Callithrix jacchus: one gene and its partners. The protein of the gene in region 2 purifies or fractionates together with the protein of the main gene of each other region. This does not show direct contact. Links are inferred from orthologs where the notes say so. Each region holds a gene or a part of one and is shown on either strand. Other genes may lie near its edges.

What was found.
Region 1: the proteins of PARD3 (region 2) and RASSF8 purify together in Homo sapiens (affinity purification with mass spectrometry; 4 studies listed by BioGRID and IntAct, counting the BioPlex papers as one, with this or other methods). This does not show direct contact. The link is inferred for Callithrix jacchus from reciprocal best matches to the Homo sapiens genes PARD3 and RASSF8.
Region 3: the proteins of PARD3 (region 2) and PARD6B purify together in Homo sapiens (affinity purification with mass spectrometry; 5 studies listed by BioGRID and IntAct, counting the BioPlex papers as one, with this or other methods). This does not show direct contact. The link is inferred for Callithrix jacchus from reciprocal best matches to the Homo sapiens genes PARD3 and PARD6B.
Region 4: the proteins of PARD3 (region 2) and PRKCI purify together in Homo sapiens (affinity purification with western blotting; 5 studies listed by BioGRID and IntAct, with this or other methods). This does not show direct contact. The link is inferred for Callithrix jacchus from reciprocal best matches to the Homo sapiens genes PARD3 and PRKCI.

Annotation. Positions count from the first base shown.
Region 1 is NC_133510.1:45,277,203-45,283,272, reverse strand, and holds the start of RASSF8 (ras association domain-containing protein 8), read left to right. Parts: upstream 1-2,135; 5' UTR 2,136-2,302; intron 2,303-6,070.
Region 2 is NC_133508.1:34,437,201-34,442,929, reverse strand, and holds the start of PARD3 (partitioning defective 3 homolog), read left to right. Parts: upstream 1-1,933; 5' UTR 1,934-2,261; coding exon 2,262-2,381; intron 2,382-2,911; exon of another isoform or gene 2,912-3,190; intron 3,191-5,729. UniProt on the Homo sapiens protein: Adapter protein involved in asymmetrical cell division and cell polarization processes. Seems to play a central role in the formation of epithelial tight junctions. Targets the phosphatase PTEN to cell junctions.
Region 3 is NC_133506.1:46,270,588-46,276,461, reverse strand, and holds the start of PARD6B (partitioning defective 6 homolog beta), read right to left. Parts: upstream 3,682-5,874; 5' UTR 3,476-3,681; coding exon 3,410-3,475; intron 1-3,409. UniProt on the Homo sapiens protein: Adapter protein involved in asymmetrical cell division and cell polarization processes. Probably involved in formation of epithelial tight junctions.
Region 4 is NC_133518.1:16,769,786-16,775,064, reverse strand, and holds part of PRKCI (protein kinase C iota type), read left to right. Parts: coding exon 1-95; intron 96-900; coding exon 901-998; intron 999-1,611; coding exon 1,612-1,698; intron 1,699-4,530; coding exon 4,531-4,666; intron 4,667-5,279.

The DNA of each region.
Region 1 (6,070 bases), on a different chromosome or scaffold from region 2:
GGTGAGAAAATGAAAGTGAGTATCGACAGTTCTTGAAGGAGTTCTGCTGCAAAAGAGAAGATAATCAGTGGGAGGAAAGGGATCAGAAGAGGGCTGTTTTGTTTAAGATGGGTAAAATAGCCAGTTATTTATTCTTTGATCCAAAAGAAAAACTGATGGAGAGAGTGTTGGTCCTGGAGTGAGGGCAAGTAGGTGGATTCCTGATTCCCACAGGGTTCTGTGCCTGCAGTAGTACTGGTGCCCAGGCCCCTGTGTGCCATGGCCCGGGAATGACTAACAGATGCCCAATCCATTCTGAGGCCTTGGGGCTAGAAGACTTCCTTACTGTCCAAAATTTGGACCTCTTTCTATGAGAGAGTTGGTCAGACACCAGTGAAGAGTTTGGGTTTTAAGTCAGAAATTAAATTAGAAATTAGAGATAAATTAGAAGGGAAGATAGAACCAATGAGTTTTTCTTTGTAAGCAATGGCTTGAGAGCAGCTGAAGTTTATCCTTCTTGTCCCCTGAGACCATCTTTACCAAGGTGGCACAAAGCCTGTAGAAGAAAGCAAGTGAGTCATGCAGGAGGGCACGAAGTAGAAGGAGGCATCATTCAGGGTCCAGGCACAGCGCCAGCACATGAGAGTGGCACTCCCATACATTTGTGCCCCAGCTGCCTAACCTACCTGATCACCCTAGCCCTGGGAAGGGCACTGTGGTTTAAGAGGAACAGTAGGAAAGTTCTTTCCCTAATTATCTCTTCTCATATTACCAACTGTAGATTAACTAAATGTGCTTTACTTTAATCTGATATTTCCTTCCCCACCCCCCCGTCTTTTTCGAGACAGAGTCTTGCTTTGCCTCCCAGGCTGGAGTGCAGTGGCTCCATCTCTGCTCACTGCAACCTCCGCCTCCTGGGTTCAAGTGATTCTCCTGCCTCAGCCTCCTGAGTAGCTGAGATGACAGGCATGCGCCACCACGCCTGACTAATTTTTGTGTTTTTAGTAGAGACAGGGTTTCACCATGTTGGCCAGACTGGTCTTGAACTCCTGACCTCGTGATCCACCTACCTTGGCCTTCCAAAGTGCTGGGATCACAGGCATGAGTGCCCAGCCTCACTCTATATATTTAGTTGACTTTAGGCACTTTAAGGAATAGGAGGAGGATGTGGCGAATAGAAAAGGAATGCTTCTGGGCTGAACAGTTCTATTGTTGGTGATAGGAGAGGGCAGGGAATGATTGATTCTGGGCCTTTGCACAAATAAGGGACAATATGAGAGACTTCTGGATACCTAAGATGTAGGCCGGGGGAACTGGGGGATAGAAAGGAGATAAATGAGGGTCAGTCCTGGTCACCAAGACCAGAAAAAAACAGCTCCTCTCCACCTAAGTACCCTTGTCATTTTTAAGTGTCATAAGAGCCCTCATACTATTTTGTCTTTCCTTCCTTGGAATCCAAAAGTGATAGATATCACTCTCCTCATTAATTCCAGGGTTCTGCCCAGGGCAGATCTAAGAGCAGTCTCCTATTGTCCATCTTTGTACCTTAGAAACCAAAGGAACCCTTTCAGGAACATCTACAGCATCTGGAAAATAATTCTCAAGACCTAACTTTATATTGCAGTTTCTTTGGGATGAGGCCTCTGGCTATTTTGGTTTGTGTTAGCCCCAGTTATGCCTAAGAACTGAGTCAGTCATGTGTCCATGGAAAGAAATCCCCATTGAAAATAGTAGGTACTGACTGTAGCCAGAATTGCATAATCAGTCCTCTTTAAGAATTTCTTCAGAACCTGTTTTCCAAAAAGATTAGCCAGATGTTTCCCAAAAGAACTTTCCTCTTCCTGATGAGCAATATTATTTTTAATAGGGGTGGATTACTCTTCTAGGCCTTGCTTCCTCTCTGCCTCCAGTCCTACAAACACCCAAGTCAAGTAAATATTATACTTGACATTATTAATTAATTGAGACTGAGTGCTGTCGTTGGAATGTTCCTGTATCTCCCCCCACCCACCATTCATATTGAAACCTAATCACCAATGTGATAGTGTTAAGAGTTGTGACCTTTGGGAGGTGATTAGGTCATGAGGAGTCATGAAAGTAGGGCCATCATAAATGGGGTTAGTGCCTTCATAAAAGAGGCCCCAGGGAGCTGTCTTGCCCTTCCTCCATGGGAGGACACAGCTAGAAGGCACCATCACCATCTGTCCACCAGAAAGCAGGCCCTCACTAGACACTGAGTCTGACAGTGGCTTGACCTTGGACTTTCCAGCTTCCAGAACTGTGAGAAGAAAATCTGTGTTGTTTATAAGCCACCTAGTTTACGGTATTTTACTATATCAGCATAAAGGGACTAAGAAACTGACCCATGAACTTCAGTTTGAATCTAGTGTCTTTAAAGCTTTGTTACTTTATGCATATCATATCTATGATATATATGTAATATATAACAACATATGCATGGCACATATAGTAGGCCTGTGGTAAATGTTTTTTGAAGCAATTAGGTGCAATGTATATTCTTTTTCTTTATCTTATTAGGCAGTGGAGTATTTATTAAAGTTCTGGTTCCACAATGCCGGATCGAAGTCTTGGCTTTTCCTCTAATGAGGTGTGTGATCTTGGGCAAGTTTTATAACTGCTCTGTGCTGAATTCCTCCTCTGAAAAGAAACAATAATCATATCTACCTTATAAGATTAATAGGAAACTTAAATAAATTGATACATTTAAAACAGAACATTCAAAACAGAACATCTCCTGGCATATGGTAAGAATTTAACAGAACAAAAGCTGTCAGGCATCTAATATTTAAAAAGTGAGAAAACTAAATTTCCTCTTTTTCCTCAGATAGCAATGTAACTGGCAGTGAATATTTAAGTGTCGGTTGTGTGAACTGTCATTATTTAGCCTTTTTCAGTGGCTATAAACAGCTTCCTGTGTTTCTGAAAAGGGAGGAATAGACATCATATTCCCATTCGGCCTCATACCAGTATATCACTCGTGACACCTAAACATAACTATATCCGTATATTATTTATATCATTGCTAATTATGTGAGTTGAATTTTTAAAATACGTGGGCCTATGATTAGTATCCAGATTTGTTTTTTCTTGGGCATGACGTTGCTTCCATGTGAGTCCTCTTCTTTCTTTCTTTTTTTGGGGGGGTGGATAAGGTCTTACTCTGTTGCCTAGGCTGGATTGCAGTGATGTAAACATAGACAGCTCACTGGAGCCTCTCAACCTCCTGGACTCCAGCAATCTTTCTGTCTCAGCCTCCCATGTACTTGGGACCACAGGCCACCATGCCTAGATAATTTTTTAATTTTTTGGAAAGATGGAGTCTCCCTTTGTTGCCCAGGCTGGTCTCGAACTGATGGGCTGAAGCAATCCTCCTGCCTTCGCCTCCCAAAATGCTGGGATTACAGGCATGAGCCACTGCACCTGGCCTCACCTGAGTTTTAAGAGCTGTGCCAGTTTGTTCTGTCTTCTTGCTTTTTCCTGCATTCAAGTTTATGGAATCAAAATGAAGGAGAGTGTATCTCCCAGAATTTAAAACTGACCAGGTTTCCATGTAATTAGCAGCATGTTTTCCACAGGGTCTTTTGTTATTGGCAGTCCTGTCCAATAAAAAGGGCCACATTCTTGATGTGTAGTGTGTCTGCAGGACTGCCCTGCCAGCTCTGTCTCATTTCTAGTAATCCAAGTCTAGTAATCCAATAAACTCATAGGAAAATGTGGCTTCTCTGATGATAGCCACCTGGTGGGACAGTACTTTCAAATTCTTAAGATAGTTTTAAACAGGTGAGTGTAGTTTAATTGTTTACAGCAAACCAACAGATATTCTTGAAGAATGAAGAAATGAACCTCTATGAGTTTAAGGGAGTTCGGGGTTATATGGTACTCTGAACTCAAGTCTGCTGATTCTTTAAATCCTGTGTCCTTACAGTTTTACTATTTTCCATCAAATTTACTCAGGTTTGGTAAAATCGTAGTAATAGCACCTGGAGCATTAGCCAGGCTTCTTCATTAGAAATCACAATCATGGAATTATAATTCCAGTAATATCATACAATTTGACACTTGTTTGCTCTAGAAAACTTTGTTTTGTATAATAAAGAGACCTAGTTTCTTTTTACCTGAGTTGTTTATTCAAACTGCTTATATATCATAAGCATTTTCTAACTAGCTTTAAATTTTTAATGTTTTTCTAATATATGCATACTTCATCAACTTTCATGTTGATAAAAAAATCTTTTTTCCTTTAATGTGGCTAATGTTGACTAGGCCTAAATTAAGACTTTGAAATTCTTAGTAGTATAATTACCAGTTTTCATCCTATTCTTGTGGTCCTAGAAAGAATGAAATAGTTCTGTTTTGTAACCATTATTTTTCTAAACCCCATCCAAGTAAATGGCACATTTTTATATTTTGTGGACAAAACTCAGACCTGTTGTATTGGTTTAAGGAATATGAGAGTGTGGACCTTTGTTGCTTTGTGAAGTTGTGTTCTAGTACCCTGCCTGAGCTGCCAGTGCCTCTGCACAGCAGGGATAGGCACAGCTGGGTGGTGCCATGTGCCCAGTGACTTGCTGAGTGGGCACTCACTCACTACAGCAGCAAACTTCAGCAAATGTGTTTCAACTGATAACATTCATACTAGTGATGACAACAGATGTATGTGTTTTCTGTGCCCGTGGCAGGCATGATTAGTTGATCATGGTATGTGTTCATGCTGAGCCTGGTCATCCTTTTAAGCATCACATTCTTGGCATCTATAGTCAGACCCTCAGGCTTAGTAGACAGGATAAAACATATGTGCTATCCTTGGCTCTAAATATGTCTGTGTTAACTTTCTCCCAATATGTTTTTGGGAAATAATAAATAAGATAAATTATTGCGTTGTTTTATAGGAAGAACAGACACTGAGCATTTTTCTGTATGTCTTGATTGGTTTGGACAATTGCACTTAATACAGGTCATATTCATTTTTAATGGCATGAAGAAGTCTCCATGTCAAAAATATTTCAGGTTGATTACTGATTCGTAGTATGTATTTATTTGAAAATTATTTCTCAAATAGATATTTGAAATAAGAAACAAATTTTGACAAAACTCATAGTTCTCCATGATGAGATTAGATCTTTTTATATAATTAGAAACTGTGAAGTTTTCATTAAATTCGAATCATAGAACAAAATACTAATCCTTTAAGAATAGAATTTAAAACTCTGTGGCTGTAATTGTAGAAATTAAAACTTGTTAAAATTAGGATTATAGCTTTTGTTTATTTGGTCCTTTTTGCTTTGAGACCTTACTAGTACTTCAGTTGAAAACAGCATTAAAAAAATATTCCATACAGGCTGGGCATGGTGGCTCATGCCTATAATCCCAGCACTTTGGGAGGCTGATATGGGAGAATCACTTGAGCCCAGGAGTTTGAGACTAGCCTGGTCAACATAGTGAGACCCCCGTCTCTAAAAATAAACATTTTAAAAAAGGCATCATGGTGCACACTTGTAGTCCCAGCTACTTGGGAGGCAGAGGTGGAAGGATCACTTTGGCTTGGGAAGTCGAGGCTGCAGTAAGCCAAGATCATGCCACTGAACTCCAGCCTGGGCAGCAGAATGAGACCCTGTATCAAAAAAAAAAAAAAAAAAATGATTTCGTGTATGGTCAAAAGGTATTTTAGACTGTCTGCTGATCCCTTGATAAAAGATGCTACACCTACTGCAAGATTATTGAGGAGTACTTTGTCATGGAGATCAGGGTTGGAAAGTTTGAGCCAAAGACCACTAAAACTGACAGTAATCAATTTGTCATTTCTGCCTTCTGCTTAGTGTTTACATTTCTAGAAAATGCTCTCTTCAGCTTGCTCCTCTGAAATCTGAAACAGAGAACTGAGAAATAGAAAATAATTTATGTCAAAATATTTTTCCGTTGATAGGTTACCTGACAAGCAAAGTGACTGAGGTGAAATTTAATCCAAATTGATGTGTGAGGCCATGGAAAACTGCTTATATTTTGTGTATGTCTTTAAAGTTAAGTAAGATTATACTTTAAGTTACTTATCTCAGTTTTCAAAGAAACAGAA
Region 2 (5,729 bases):
AATCCCGTCTCTACTAAAAATACGAAAATTAACTAGGTGTGGTGGCAGGCACCTGTAATCTCAGCTACTTGGGAGGTGAGGCAGGAGAACCACTTGAACCCAGAAGGTGGAGGTTGCAGTAAGCCACGATCATGCCACTGCTCTCCAGCCTTGGCAATAGAGTGAGACTTGGTTTCAATAAGAAAAAAAATAAAATAAATAAAACAAAACAAAATAAACTAGTATACACTCTAAACTAGTAGTATGCTCCCCCATACATGAAAACAGAAACACCACCTATAATTATGAGTAATTGTTGTTGTGAATCCAAGTATCTATGTAAAAAGCAAAAACCCCACAGCCACAGTTGTTGTCATCGTTGTCGCAAATTTAATTACTGGGTAGAAATGTCGAGTGCCGCAGCCAAACAGCAGTAGGAGGAGCCTTTCCCATGGCGGAGGGGAAGGAGGGAAACCTAGACTCTATTTCTGGGTCTGCCTCGAGCTTTCTCTGCCGCCTTGGGCAAGTGACTTCAGTTCTTGGTCAATGTCCTGGATTAAGATGGGGCTAACGCCACTGCACTGATTTGCTAGGACAGGTGGTGGAATGTGGGGGGTCGGGGCTGGGAGAGGAGAGGAAGGGCAATATTTCCTAGGAGAAACTGCACTGTAGCTGGGGCAGCTGTGGTGCTGCCAAGCGCAGCGAGTGTGGCAAGCGGACGAACCTCTTGTCTTGTTACCTTGTTTTAAAATTGGAGGTGGAGTGGGATGGATGGTCGATATGCAGCTCTCCCAGCTCTAAGTGCCCAAGTTCTGGGAGCTTGATTGCTTTCACGTCCCTTGGAAACAACTGGCAAAAATGAATTTCACACAGTCTGGTACCAGCTTACCATCTCCGGCACTCTTTGCTGACATTTGCCATTCTTTAAACACAATGACATACGTTTATTAAGGAATCACAGTCCATAACTAAGACAAAGTGAGCTTGAGTTACGTTCCCTAACTCGGTCCACGTTCCTTTAAAACGTCTCAAGTCGCATGTCACTCATCGCGGAGTCGCAGCCTTCCCCGGGGTTCAGGCGTCCGCATTAAGCGCAGGCACAGCGTGGGGATCCCCGCGTGCGGTTTTCCCGCGGCGTCGGAATAGACTGCTTTCGGATTCGCGTTGGGATTGCTTATGCTGCATAATTTCAAAGAAATAAATGTATCAGAATTGCGATGCTTAAGGTCTAATCTATTTAAGCGGGTGGGTCAGCAGCGGGTCAACGGGAAACTTCAAGGTAAATAGTGGCCTCGGCAAAAGGCCGGGTCGCTCACAGCTTCCCCACCGCCTCCCCAGAGCAGACGATTAATTTTTGTGTTTCAGGCAAACCCGCCGCTGCCCGGCCCTGCAGCCTAGCTGGGGAGCGACGGCGGCAGAAACCTGGCGGAGCGAGCGGCGGGCTCGGGTCCCGGCTGGCCGAGGGGCTCGGGCTGGAGTCTGCGGGGCGGTGGAGGGTACTCGCCGCGCTGGGCACAAACTGCTTTCACCCGCAGCGTCTGCACCCGAACCCTCTAGTCCGAGGAAGGGGATTAAAAGTGACAAAGGAAGGAGAAGGGGGGCTCCGTGGAGACACGTCTGGAGGCGTGGAAGGGGCGTCTAGGAGGAGGGGTGAGCACAGCCCCGCAGGGTGCTGGGCGGACGGGTGAAGGGGGCTGGGGGCTCCCGGGCCGGAGCTGGTGGGGGCCCACGGCAACTTGCGCGGGCTGGCTGTGGGGCGAGGGGTCCCGCGCCCCCGGAGGGAGGCGGGAGGCCTGCGGCGGGGGCGCGGGCGGCCGTCGTGCGCTCCGCCCAGAGCGGGGAGCCGGTCGCGCCTCCCCCTGCCGCATGTGCGCGGTGTTGTGTGCCCGGCCCTGCTCCTCCCCCTCCCCTCTCCTCCCCTCTCCTCCCCTTCCCTCGCTCCGTCCCCTCCCCCAGCGGCCCCGAGCGAGCGCCAGCGCCACACAGCCCCGGGCCGCCGCCGCTGAGCGCGCCGAGACGCCGAACAGGTGGCCGGAGGCTGCGGGCGCCGCGGCGGGGAGAGGCGAGGCGAGCCCCGGGCGAAGCGAGGCGAGGCGAGGGCGGCCGGGTCGGGCCCGGCATGCGAGCCGAGCGGTCCCCCGGCGTCACCGCCGCCTGCCCGCTCCCCTAGCCGCCTGCGCGCCCGAGTACCCCGCGGCTCCCCCGCTCCTAGCGTCCCCGACCCGGCAGCTCCGCCTGCGCTCGGCGAGGGGCGCGGGCCTGCCCGCGGCGGCGGCGGCGGCATGAAAGTGACCGTGTGCTTCGGACGGACCCGGGTGGTCGTGCCGTGCGGGGACGGCCACATGAAAGTTTTTAGCCTCATCCAGCAGGCGGTGACCCGCTACCGGAAGGCCATCGCCAAGGTGAGGGGCCGAGGGCACGGGCGGGGAGGGGGGCGGCGGCGGGGACGGCGCCGGGATCAATATGGCGCTTCCTGGAAGGGGGAGGAGAGGCACAGGGAGGCGGGGAAAGGGAAAGTGCGGCCGGGCCGGCCTCGCGGGCGCCCCCCGCCCGGGGCTGCGGGCGCCAAAGTTCTCCGCGCGGGCTGGGGCGCAGCCTCGGGAGCACCGCGCCGCGGCCCCCGCCGCCCCCCGGGAGCTCCGGTCTCGGGAGCGCGGGGCGAGCCGGGCGGCGGCGCACAGGCCAGCCCCGGGCGCCTCCCCGGAGTCTGCAGACCCAGCCAAGCCCCGAAAAGGCGCGCGGGGGGCGGGGGCCGGGAAATCCAGCCCCAGGCCTCTCCCGGCTCCCAGGCCCCGCGGGCACCGACCGGGGACTGGGAACTTCTGGTGTGAGGAGAGTTTCGGGACTGCTCTCCCAACAGAGGCGGGCTGCGAGCTTTCCATCTCCTCTCCCTTTCTCGGGCGGGGGCGGGACCACCGCGGGGGGCTTTTACCTCTGCGTCCCGGGCGGGCCGGGACGGCCGGCCTCGTCCGGGGGCTGCAGGGTTGGGGGAGTCTCTCGCTTGGGGTCCGGGAGGCGTTCCCGGGAGGGCCGCTGCTGGCACTGGCTTGAGAGCATTTACTGTGCTGATCCCCCTTGCTGGGCTCGGTAAAGCACAGCCTCGGCACAGTCGCGGAATGAAAAGTTTTCCTGCGAGGACCTCAGCTCCTACCCATCCCGGGCTGCTTCCATGCGGAGGGCTGTGGAGCCGGGCCTGACTCGGGAGTCGAGTGGATTTCCCTTTTTCCTGCTGGAGTGATAACATTGTCTCCACTTCACTGCATTCCTCTACTATGTGTCAGAAGTGAAAAGACATTTTGTTACATTGTTTTACCGACTGGGTCTGTATTTGACAACAGCCCACGCTGAAGTTTCTCTCAAGCACCCGAGGATATTTCCTTTGTCGTAGAGTCCTGTTTGGTGGGGAGCACATTCTCTTGGGTGCACTGTTTCCTATTTGTTCCCGACAGTGGCCTGGCGCCTGTGGGCTTGGGGGCTGCAGATGACATTGGAAAGTGTCTTGGCCAGCCCTATTGAGCGTACACCGGGTGCTCTGGGTGTCATCTTCAGTGATCTCAGAAATTAAGAAGAAAACGCTTTTTAGACTGCTGTTTTGCTTTCAATATATATTGGAAAAAATAGCATAAATGTGGCCTTTCAAACATAATTTGGGGGAACGTTTAGGAACCTGACTTAAGGCTGGAAGACATTGGCTTTAATAGTTCTGCTATGTTCCTTACAGTTGGTTGAACTCTTTTATTGAAAATCAAATAAAATTAGTGGGAATTGGACACCTGTTTATCTTGCAAAGCTGAGAGGGAAAGAAAACCATCTAAATGGACATTGAGCATTTTTAATGATTGTTTATGTGTGACAGTTTATGCTTTAAATGTTCCAAAAGAATACTCAAATTGTTCAGGTGCTCTGGAACCCAACAAAATAAATCGTGCAAGGAAAGAAATAAAATAATACACACTCTGTACTATGTCTTGGTTCCTGAAAAGGTAGGATGATTGAAGTTTCCTTTCCCTTTACTAATTTTATGTGATTAAAATTGTTTTACCTACTATGTCTCACGTTTCATCATGTACAAAATAGACATAGGCTGAACTGGCTGTTTGACAGTAGTTCAAATGTGGTTGTTTGAGGCATTAACTCGTTCCACAGAAATTCTTAAGCTTTGACTATGTCCAAGGCACTGTTCTGGGTGCTGGACATCTAGGGGACCCACTGGCTGTGAGAGTCTGAGCACGAGGCTGCGAGGTCCTCCAGGTGAAGGGGCTGGTGGTGGGAGAAGAGGTGGCCTCTGGGATGCTGGCGGACTAGATCAGGGCCTACCTGGCCCTTGTTATTAATGATTAGCAGTGGTGGTTTCACAAGGACCTAGGGCATAGAAAAGGGAGTGCAGATTTCTTAAGGGTATCTGGGCAGGTGTCACAAGGAGAAAAGCGGGGCCTATGAGCTGAAGGAAGGGAGGGTGTTAGTGATATGGGAGTTGAGAGGGAGGGTGAGAGGTAGTTCAGGGGTTCCAACACTTACATGCTCTTTAAGTACAACTTAGAGTTCTGTAGGTGAATTTGAACGGGGGCTTTGCAGTAGACCAAGTTCAGTCATTAGATCAGGACTGTTGACCCTCAGATGTTGCTAGAACTCAGGGGTCTTCTGGGCCCCTTTCTCCTTTTTCTTCTGAAATTGCTAGATAATGATTAAGATTAATTTTTAGTCTTTCCCATTCTATATTATGTGTGAGAAAGTGTTAATATGTATTTAACATTTTTTTTTTTTTTGAGACAGAGTTTTGCTCTTGTTACCCAGGCTGGAGTGCAATGGCGCAATCTCGGCTCACCGCAACCTCTGCCTCCTGGGTTCAGGCAATTCTCCTGCCTCAGCCTCCCGAGTAGCCGGGATTACAGGCATGCGCCACCACGCCCAGCTAATTTTTTTGTATTTTTGGTAGAGACGGGGTTTCACCATGTTGACCGGGATGGTATCGATGTCTTGACCTCCATCCACCCGCCTCGGCCTCCCAAAGTGCTGGGATTACAGGCTTGAGCCACCGCGCCCGGCCCTATGTATTTAACATTGTTTTAACTTTTATTCTCTTACCTGTTCCTTACGTACTCCTGTTGCTTAACAGAACAAGACAAATTCTGTGTGGAGAACTGGGTGGCTGGAGAGCTGTGGAGCAGTGTTTGGGTTGCTAGGTGACATGTGGTGTGATGAACTCCCATCTGGTGGGGAAACGTGGGCAGATCATGTTTATGGCTTTGTATAATAACCAACCAAGCCAAAATAAAAAATGAAAAGAGACAGGTCCCAACTCCCAAATCACCAAGGCTTTCTCTGCAGTAAACATTTTCTGGTGTGGTGGGGCTAATTTTCTGGCATTACATCTGAGCTGTTTTCTCCTCAGGTTACACAAATCAATTTTTCTGGATAGTGAAGTGCCATGATTTAATACTAGACATGTCCTCAGTGAGTAGTAGATATTTGAAGGCTTATGCTTAGTCATATGTGACATTTCTTTTTTCTTCTCATGAAAGATGTTTTTATGGTTGTGATTACTGGTGGGTGGGACCAACTGTTCATCTGCATCCACCCATCCACATTGGGAGCCTCTCGGAGGACAGTGTGGTGCTAGACATGGGGAACAGCGTGACATGGACCATTCTCACCAGGATGAGAGGATGGACTGTGCCTGCATCCATCTGTTCTTTTTTTTTTTTTTTTTTTGAGTTGGAGTTTTGCTTTTGTTTCCCAGGCTGGAGTGT
Region 3 (5,874 bases), on a different chromosome or scaffold from region 2:
ATTAGTCACTATGTGAACCATTTACAACTGTTTTACAGCCTAATCTAGTTTGTCCTAGCCATCCAGAATAGGTATGGACTCCCTTCCCCCAGTGTCTGTTGGTACATTCTAGAAATACAAACTTAATTTTCATAGTCTATTTGCTTATGAATAATAATTAGGAAATTTTATGACTCAAAGACTGTTCCAGGGTTATTAAAGGACATCACCATGATTATTGATTAAGAATCTTTCCAACACTAGAGATACAGTTAGGAAGATAAATCAGTTTCCAAAGAAAAGTGACATACTAGCTGGTATCACAAATTTAACTATACTTATATTTACGTTCTCCATTATTTTATTATCATTATTTTTCCCTGCCACTTGCAAAGATAAGAAAGTTGACACTACTGCTTTAATTCATTTTTCAAACTTTTTATTTTTTTGAGACGGAGTCTCCCTCTGTCACTCAGGCTGGAGTGCAGTGACACAATCTCGGCTCACCACAACCTCCACCTCCCAGGCTCACATGATTCTCCTGCCTCAGCCTCCCAAGTAGCTGGGATGACAGGCATGCAGCACCAAGCACAACTAATTTTTGTGTTTTTAGTAGAGATAGGATTTTATCATGTTGGCCAGGCTGGTCTTGAACTCCTGACCTCAGGTGATTCGCCCACCTTGGCCTCCCAAAGTGCTGGGATTACAGGAGTGAGCCACCACACACGGCTGACACTACTGCTTTATATGAAGAAAAAGAGATATTAAAAATGGACGAGAACCCGGTGTGGTGGCTACCTCCTGTAATCCCAGCACTTTGGAAGGCCTAGGTGGGCAGATCACTTGAGCTAAGGAGTTAGAAACCAGCATGAGCAACATGGCAAAACTGTTTCTAAAAAGATTTTAAAAAATAAAAATAAATAAAAGAAAAGAAAAATAGACCAGGTAGGGTGCAGTGGCTCATGCCTGTAGTCCCAGTACTTCAGGAGGCAGAGATGGGGGCATCACTTGAGCTCAGGAGTTCAAGATCAGCCTGGGCAACTTGGCAAGACCCCCGTCTCTATTAAAAAAAAAAATTACCTGGGTGTAGTGGCGCATGCGTATAATCCCACTACTCAGGAGGCTGAAGTGGGAGAATCACTTGAGCCCGAGAGGTTAAGGCTGCAGTGAGCCATGATCGTGCCATTGTACTCCAGCCCCAGTGACAGAGCAAGATCCTGACACGAAAAATAAAAGAATTAATAAAAGGACCTGCACACTACCTATTTCGTTACAAACTCTTAGGGATTAGTGTTGTAAAAAAGCTGTGCTATCACTAAAGCAATGTCAAAGGAAATACTGTTTTAAAAACCCCTCCAAATATTTTTTAAATGATTAGATGACAAATATTTCAATCCGCTGAAAATAAATGTATCAGAAATATATATTTGAAAGATAGAAGGTGTCACAGACACATTAGGAATACTCCCCTACCTATACCTTGCCTATTTGTCAACAGCTAGAATAGTGCATTCAGTGCATTCATTCAGTGCATGTTTCTAGAATCAGTGTATGAGTCTACTTAAGAGACATGGTTCACTAAAAGTGCAGTATGGCAGTTCAAATATACAACATGTAGTTTAGACAGAAGTATGTGAAAGATTCAAAAATCAGTTGACAAGAGAAAGGCAAAAAGCCTGAAATTCCAGTTTTAAAGCACTCAAGGTTTCTTAGTACTAGAGATAAACTACTATTTGATTGTATTTATCAGCATGCTGATAAATACTGATAAAACAGAATTCCAACTCATTTTTTATGAGAAAAAAATTAAAGATTTGCTACCCAAATTAGGGCTATAAACTTATTTTTAAGATTATGCAATATCACAAGTGTTTTTCTTTCCATAACCTCAACGCCCACAAATCCAAACGAGACTTATAACAGAAATGCTGTAAGAAGGTTCAACCACTGGGCACGGAACCACTACTGCCACTATACCGCTAGAGGAAAAGCTCTGCTACATATTTTGGGTCATCTTCACGCTATATAGCTCAAGCAAGTCACTTCAATTTGCTATGCCGTGCACATGGCACACAGACACACGAACATTCCTTAAATTGCTATAACTACACTTCTTACTGATTCTGAAACTAGTGCCAATCCTCATTTCAGTGCCAAATCACATTTTTAAATGATGTTACAAACAAATGTAGATTTTCTCGATGTGATTCTCAGTTACAGAAACTTACAGAACTTTGCTTATCAACCGTAGACAATAAAACCATTCTACCCAGAGGCTCTAGAAAGCTTTCCTTACTCCACTCAACTCACTCCTTGATTCTGCATACTCCTTAGTAGGCTTACAATCTATGACGCTCCATTACTTCTTTTTTTTTTTTTGAAATTGATACGCTTTCAATTTTTTCGTTTTCTGTGTTTTGGCCTTTTCAATTCTATTTTAAATGTTCCGAGGGCCCAGCCAGTGCCCTGTTTTGTATTCTGCAGTGCCTAAAAGTTACTGTTAAAAAGGCATGAAGGCATTGCAAAAAAAGAGCTTGGGAAGTCATAACCTTTCTGAACCTCAGTCTTCTCAGAGAATTGGACTAGACTATCTAAGCTCCTTTTAACTCTTCAACTCAAGAAACTTCGTCGAAAATGTTCCCGTAGCTGCCGATCACCTTCAAACTCCATCTCAAAACCCCCTTTGGAAGGCATTCCCTAACTAATCCCTACAGACTCCCCTGCTCACCGAGCCTTGCGATTTAGGAATTCAGTGAATACCGAAATAATTATCAGCAGATTGGCATACCGCTGGTCAAGGGGAAAAACACTTGATGTAAGTAAGTAGCAGGATGGAATGAAAAGAGCATCCAAACTCAAACTGTAAAGTGCTACTCCAGCGTAAGGTGATAGCGCTAATTTTACAGATTAAATGCATACCAAAGTTAGTTCTAGAAAGAGCGCTAGCAGGAAGCAAAGGGAACTTTTCAAGGGCTATTTAGTTCACTGGGCTCTCTCCTTCGCCACTCGATGCGCCCCTGAACCCCAGAAAGGGGGAACGAGGTGGTCCAGGGCCCTTTATTCACAGCCCAGCAGGCAGGATTCCCCTACATCTTTTGAGCCGCCTCGCATTCCACTAAATGTGTGCCATCCTCGGGCATACCTTGGCCCCTACTCCCAGCCGTGAACACGGGAATGAGATTTACGGGACGAGATTAAACGCTGGATTAGATCTTCTTCCTGCCGGGGCCATGGGCGGACGGACACTAGCGCCCACCGACCCCCGCCGCACCCTCCTCGGCAAGTTTATTACCCACCATCCCCCGCCCGCACGTCCAGACCCCGGGGCAGCTCGGACCGTCGCCTCCCCCGGCGCTCCGAGACCTGCCCAGCCTCTCCCAGGCCCTGGCCCCCCAGGCCCGCCGCTCCGCCCAGCCCGTGCCCCGCGCACCTTGCTCTTCACCTCCATGGTGCCCAGGCAGCCGCTGCCCGCCGCGTGCCGGTGGCTGCGATTCATGCTGAACGCCGGGCCAGCGGCGGCCTCCTCCGGCCGGGCGGCCCCTCTGGAGAGCAGGGAGCGAGTGCGCGGCCGGCGGGCTCGGAAGGCGGCTGCGGCCCGGGAGCCTCCTCACAGGCACCTGCAAAGAAGGCGGCCGCACCTCTGGCGTCTGCGCCGAGCTGCACTCGGTCGGCTGCTCACACGGCGGGACCGAGGGTCGGACTGGCTGTGCGGCGGGCGGAGACGCAGCTCCCTCCCTCCGGGCCCCGGCGGCGGCGGCGACGACAGCGCTGGAGGAGGAGGAGGAGGAGGGGGCGGAGCGGAGGCCACAGGCGCCGCAACCTCTCCCTCAGCCACCTCCTCCGCGAGCCCGCGCGCGCGCACCCGAGCCGGGCCACAGCCGCGGCGCGTGCGCGTGCTCACCTGCCGCCCCCGAAGCTGCTGCAACCGCTCGCGCTCCGCCCACACCCAATAGGAAACGCGCACCTGCGCCCGCGGCGCCAACCAATCGATACACGCCTCGCGCGATGCGTGGGCGGGCCGCCTCCTCAAAAAACCCCGCCTTTCGCTGCGCGATTGGTCCTGCGCTTCGAGGGAGGGGCGGGATCACCTGAAGCCGTGGACCTACGCCCCTCATCAAGCCGGAGAGCCAGAGGGCGCATGCGCGGGTTCTGGAGTTTCCGCCCGAGGAAAGCACGCGGGGCGGTCGGCCGGAAGCGCGAGCGCACCTGAAGAAGGGCTCGGCTGGGTGGGTCTTTTGCGCACGCGCAAGCGCGCGCCTCGTTGTCCGGCGCGCGAGTCACACGCTTGGCTCTGGGGATGGGGCGCCTAGCGCTGCCGGTGGCCGAGGCTCCACGGGGCTGTTTGGTGTCCGCCGGTCCCCCTCCCCGCTTCCACTTTGGGAAGCGGCATCCCCTCCACCGCCCTTTAGCGTCGCTTAGGTGTCCCGCTGCAAGTCTTGTTTGCAAAATTTAAGTTTTCTAGCTTCTGTAGCAGTTGCTGGAGGAGAAGCTTAGGGCTCTCTTGGCTTGACTTTGTCCGAAGAGACTCTGCACGCCCTAAGTTCGTCAGGTCGAGAGGGAAGGAAAGTGGGCTTGAGGCGCGGGAAGGCTCCTTGCGGGCCCAGCCTCCCAGAGGATTTCTAGTCCGGTCTTCCAGTGCTTTTTTTTTTTTTTTTTTTCTTTAAACCTCTGAAGTCCTCTTCCCTCCTCCCGCCATTCCTTAGCCATTCGCTGTTTCTAGTAATGACAGCCAATGGGTTGTGTTCGTTTCCCGGAGTGACCAAGCTGTGTCCCAGAGCAACAAAACTCTGAATTCTCCTCTCTGAATGTCCCAGTCCCTGAGCCCGGCCTCTCTTCACACAGACCCTGTTGGCCATGGGGAGGAGAGGAGAAGACTGAAGATTTGGGCTGGAGGAGATTCCCAAGTCCCAAGGGCTCCCTGTGGGTTCTGGGAATCCAAGAGCTGTTGAAACCTGCAAACCAGAAAGGGGGTGGGGGAGTGGAGGTGGAGGAGGAGGGTCCAGCTTTAGATCTGGCAAGAAGAGTGGTTTGAGTGCCTTCCTCCCCTTACCTCCCTGCCCACCTCGGATGCCTCCTAACACTTGTACCGGTTTCCCAGCACGGGTGACAAGTTCCAGGTTTCCATTTTTGTGTGCATCTGAGTTTTGTGAGTAATCCGCCTCCAGCATAGAATGAAAGCTCCCGAAGGCAGGGAGCACTTGGGCTTTGCTGTCATTGAGTAGTACAGAGCCTGACTCCCAGTGGGTACTGTGCTGCAGCTGAGGGTGTCCTTTCTGCAGGCTCACTTTGCCCCACCTGTGTTCAAAGGTGAGAAGCTCATTTTTTTTTCCCCCTGGAGGATTCAGGTCACCAGACGTTTGTGGGGGAATTTAAGGTTTTTCTGGTCTTCTGAGGTGGCAGCACAGGTGGAAAGGACACCAATCCAAGCTGAATAATAAATAAGCAAGCTGCCTCCACCCGCTGTACGAAAGCACATACGAGGTGACTCAAGCTCAGCCGGAAATAAAGTGCCTATCAGAGCAGCTGCAGGGCCTGTAACTCCCGTTTGGACTAGCACAGCAGTTCCCAACTTTATTGTTCTCAAGACCCGTTTACACTATTAAAAATCATGGAGGACCCCAAAGTACTTTATGTGTTATATCTTTCAGTATTTATCTTAGAATTAAAACGGATGTGTCTAAAACATGGGAATACACCAGCATGCATTCCAACAGTCATCAGACTGATGATGTCATCACGTCTTGTCCCTTCTGGAAAACTCCATTGTATACTCTCCAGACAATGACAATGAGGAGAACAAATGACATCTTAGTTTTGTGAAAACAGTTTTGGCTTTGCAAAGACCCCCCCCATAAAGGGGTCTCAGGGACTCCCAGGGACCACATTCTGATCATG
Region 4 (5,279 bases), on a different chromosome or scaffold from region 2:
GAAGTTATGCCAAAGTACTGTTGGTTCGATTAAAAAAAACAGATCGTATTTATGCAATGAAAGTTGTGAAGAAAGAACTTGTTAATGATGATGAGGTAAGCACCACATGTTTCATTGCTTCTAAACTGTTAAACTGCTTAAGAATAAGCAGTTTATTCTTATTTATTGATTGAGGTTTAAAATAAAACCCCAATCTTTGTGCTTTATTATTTGATTCTACTTTTCTAAATATGTGCTAAGTACATTAAATATATTATTTCAGTTTACTTTTCTTATAGATTATATAAGATATTTAAAGTAATTTGATTATTATTAGACTTTTAAAAAAAAAAAACAAAAATCGGGCCGGGCGTGGTGCTCAAGTCTGTAATCCCAGCACTTTGGGAGGCCAAGGCGGGTGGATCACGAGGTCAAGAGCTCGAGACCATCCTTGTCAACATAGTGAAACCCCGTCTCTACTAAAAATACAAAAAATTAGCTGGGCAAGGTGGCGTGTGCCTGTAATCCCAGCTATTCAGGAGGCTGAGGCAGGAGAATTGCCTGAACCCAGGAGGCGGAGGTTACGGTGAGCCGAGATGGCACCCATTGCACTCCAGCCTGGGTGACAAGAGCGAAACTCCGTCTCAAAAAAAAAAAACAAAAACAAAAACAAAAATCAAACCACATTATTGTCAGAGGAAATACTTGAGCTTGTAAAAATCTTCTAGACGGTTTTATGATATTGAAAGGTTTACTAGTGTTAATTTTCTCTTTGTAAATTTTTGTTCCATGATCATCAATGGTTTTTATATTTAGCCTAGTTAACAGTTGCATTTGTGACAGTTGAATTGCTCAGAACAAATTTATCATTAATTGCGATGATTTCAGTTTGACATAGATTCCTTTCATGTTTCAAAATAGGATATTGATTGGGTACAGACAGAAAAGCATGTGTTTGAGCAGGCATCCAATCATCCGTTTCTTGTTGGACTCCATTCTTGCTTTCAGACAGAAAGCAGGTAAGATTGAAAGATAATAGAATGATTACTGGGCTTCATATTTTGGGCATATTACACAGAACCTTTCTGCTGTAATTCATGAAGTAGACATCATGGAGGATGCAACAGTGTTCGGCTTATAACTTCCTGCTACTATTACTCCAGTCACTGATGGCAGTTTGATATTGGATCAGCATTAGGCAGAACAAGAAATAGCCATGTCATAATTATGGCAGTGGAAATCCAACCTTTAAATATCCCCGGTATTCTAGTTTTATAGTTTTATGACTTAAAATTTTCTAGAGTTTAACGAAAAGGAAAAATGCTAACTTCTTAACCTTGACAGTCAAAAACAACTTATTTAGCAAAGGCTAAAATTAGGATGGTAATGAGTGGCTTTGGATTGCAAGTGGTATTACTTTAGAATAGAAGTAGGAGATTACAAAATTATGATCATGCTGGTTTACTTTCTCATATCTTCTGTACCTTAGCTCTCTTTGTTTCCACCAAAATCTTGGCATCTTTTTAAAGGCTAAATAGTAGAGAATGCTCTCTGTCGTGACTGGTTTGTGAAAATGCAGTTACACTGCCTTTCTTTGGATCTTGATTTCATGAGTTCTCTCCTGTGTTTTAGATTGTTCTTTGTTATAGAGTATGTAAATGGAGGAGACCTAATGTTTCATATGCAGCGACAAAGAAAACTTCCTGAAGAACATGCCAGGTAAGTTTTGTTTACCCTGTGTGTGTGTGTGTGTGTGTGTGTGTGTTTCAGGGCCATGTGGCTTCTTATGTGCAGTGGTTGGAAACAGTAGTTAAATTTATTTTGAGCCAGGCGCGGTGGCTCAAGCCTGTAATCCCAGCACTTTGGGAGGCCGAGGTGGGTGGATCACGAGGTCAAGAGATCGAGACCATCCAGGTCAACATGATGAAACCCCGTCTCTACTAAAAATACAAAAAATTAGCTGGGCATAATGGCGCGTGCCTGTAATCCCAGCTACTCGGGAGGCTGAGGCAGGAGAATTGCCTGAACCCAGGGGGCAGAGGTTGTGGTGAGCCGAGATGGCGCCATTGCACTCCAGCCTGGGTAACAAGAGCGAAAACTCCGTCTCACAAATAAATAAATAAATAAATTAATTAATTAATTAATTTTGATACAAGTTAATTCTTTGTAAGTCATTCATAGGCTGACCTAAAAGTTAATTTACATTATATATGTAAAACAATTATACTATATATTATTTTACATTTATACACACATGTCACGTACACATGCATGCACACAGTGCTTCCTAAGCCATTGAAAAATATAAACAATATTAAAAGGGAAACCTTTACTAAAACCAATCCTTTTCAAATATTTTGTGTGTTTAGCATCAGCCATTTAAATAATTGAGACTAATAAACATGTATTAGTCTTTTCAGGTTTGTAGTGGTCTCTGAGAGAGCTTTTCATTATGAGAGTGCTATTCATACATACTTGAGAGTAGTACAGACCATCCGTCTGACTGGGCATAGTGGTTCATGCCTATAATCCCAGCACTTTGGGAGGCTGAGGTGGGTGGATCACCTGAGGTCAGGAGTTTGAGACCATCTTGACTGACACGGTGAAACCCCGTCTCTACTAAAAATACAAAAATTAGCTGGGCGTGGTGGCGAGTACCTGTAATCCCAGCTACTCAGGAAGCTGAGGCAAGATAATTACTTAAATCTGGAAGGCAGAGGTTGCAGTGAGCCAAGATCGCGCCACTGCACTCCAGCCTGCCTAACAGAGCAAGGCTCTGTCTCAAAAAAAAAAAGAAAAAAGATCCCTTTTAAACTAGTATATACTTCTGACTGTTCTTCCTGTGGTTTATTGTTCTTTGGCTTTTTTTCCCTTTAATCCCATAATTATTGATAAGTAAGAGAAAAGAGTATTGAATATGAATTTTGTGCTCCTAATTTGATATTAATATATAAGATTGTAAATTATGTGTTGGAGGAGATTGGTGGGAAGGGATCAGGGTCTTGAATAAACAATTTAATCCATCAGTACCAGGTTTTGTTTTTATTCATAATCAGCAGTAATTCTCACCCTTTCCTGCTTCACAAGAGTAATACCAAAATGAAACATATGAGTTTGTATATGTTTGTAATTATCAAACAGAGAACAAATATTAGAAATTTCATTTAAATAAAAAACTTGTGGAAATTTTGCTACTTCATTATTGCTTGTGAAAAAGTGATAATATTTAATTTCATAAGAAGATATAAATTGTACTTATCTTGAGGCCAGACTGGGTTTTTTGTTTATTTGGATTTTGTTATCGTTTTGGTGTTCCTGTATGTTCATTGTGTATTCGGCTTTATCAAATGATCCACCCTTCATAGCAGAGCCACAGATGATATTTTGAATTGTGAACATAGCCAGTATTTGTTCCTTGTCTGTTCAGCTGAATGTGGGGAAGCTAGTCTGGTTTTTACTGTGTTAATGTGCCGGTTCTGGCTTTATACCACCATCTTTGCTTCTGTAAGAACTAAAGCCCAGAATTAGGGCTTAAGTTCCTGAATCACAGAATTAAGTAGCTAGAAGGTGTATGTTATATACCTCCACATGTAATTGCGATAACGTGCCACCAAAGCAGCCATACAACACCTCAGGTGTTCCATTTTCATTATTCAGGCCAAAAGTTCTGGGTTGTCACCAGTGAGTTGGTAGCAATTTTTTAAAGTTCTTTGTTTGATATTAAATTTTATAGTCGTAGAACAGTTCCATTTAATTCCTTTCCTAAAAGCTTTATGAGGATTTTATGGTGTTGAGTAGTTACCTTGTAGTAGTCTTCCTATTCTTTTTTTTTTTTTTTTTTTTTGAGACAGAGTCTTGCTCTGTTGCCAGGTACAAGGCTGGAGTGCAGTGGCGTGATCTCGGCTCACTGCAACCTCAGCCTCCTGGGTTCAAGCAATTCTCCTGCCTCAGCCTCCCAAGTAGCTGGGACTACAGGCGCACACCACCATGCCCAGCTAATTTTTGTATTTTTAGTAGAGACGGGGTTTCACCATGTTGGCCAGGATGGTCTCGATGTCTTGACCTCGTGATCCACCCACCTCGGCCTCCCAAAGTGCTGGGATTACAGGCGTGAGCCACAGCGCCCGGCCTTTCTATTCTTGACACTGTCAGTGGTTCTTAGCCTACTGGGGGGTCATGGGTCCCTTAGAGGAGGGATGAAAGCTGTGAGGACTCTGTAGATGTTGTGCATGTACATATGTGCACACACCTTTACCCCCAGTTGTAGAAGTATGAACTGCCTGAAGTTTACCCAAGGACCCAGATTAAGAACCCCTGTTTGAGACTTTCAAATTAATAGCCTTATGAAAAATGTGAGTTTAAGTTAAACTTGTATAATTGTGTCGTGGGCTCAGATGTTTTAAAGTGGTACTTCAGTTCATTTTTTAAATTTGTTTCTAAAAATCACTGGGAGGAAAAAATATGTTTTGATATGAATTTTTATGTTTCCAGTTGCAAGTTTAGAACTTAAATATGATTGAATCAAATGATTTATTTTTTATTTTATTTTAGATTTTACTCTGCAGAAATCAGTCTAGCATTAAATTATCTTCATGAGCGAGGGATAATTTATAGAGATTTGAAATTGGACAATGTGTTACTGGACTCCGAAGGGCACATTAAACTCACTGACTATGGCATGTGTAAGGTGAGGAACACTTTCTAGTTATTTAAAAAGGTCTTCGGCAGCTAGTAGTCTTTGTAAAACAGCTTCATGTTTAAAGATGGGAAAATGATTACTAATTTTGCTAATTTATTTATGGAGCTTTGTGGAATTCTAGCACAAAGACAAATGTACTATTTTTCTAACCATTTGCAAAGTTTACATCTTCTGTGTTACGTGTACTACAATAAGAGTTAATTTCTTTTTATTAAACATAACTTTTTATCTTGAAAGTTGTAATACAATTGAAGAAAATTTGGAAATAAAAGCTGTCTGCAATTCCACCACTTAGCACAACCATCTGCATATGGCCTTCCAATTTTTGCCATTTAGTAGTGAATCTTATATAATGCATTCAGGATTTTCCTCAGAAGTCAAACATTTTTTATATTTAAATTTTAAACACCTGACAGTATAATATGTAAAAAATTTTATAATAAATAAAAATATAAAGAATTTTAGTTACTCTCAGAATATGTCTTCTTTTTTTCTTGATGTTTTATTCTTTTTATAATAGTGTTCCATTTTAAAGGTCTGGTATTTTCCCACAAAATGTGTAAGGAACTACTCCTTTTTAAAGTAACTGGTACAAAATTAT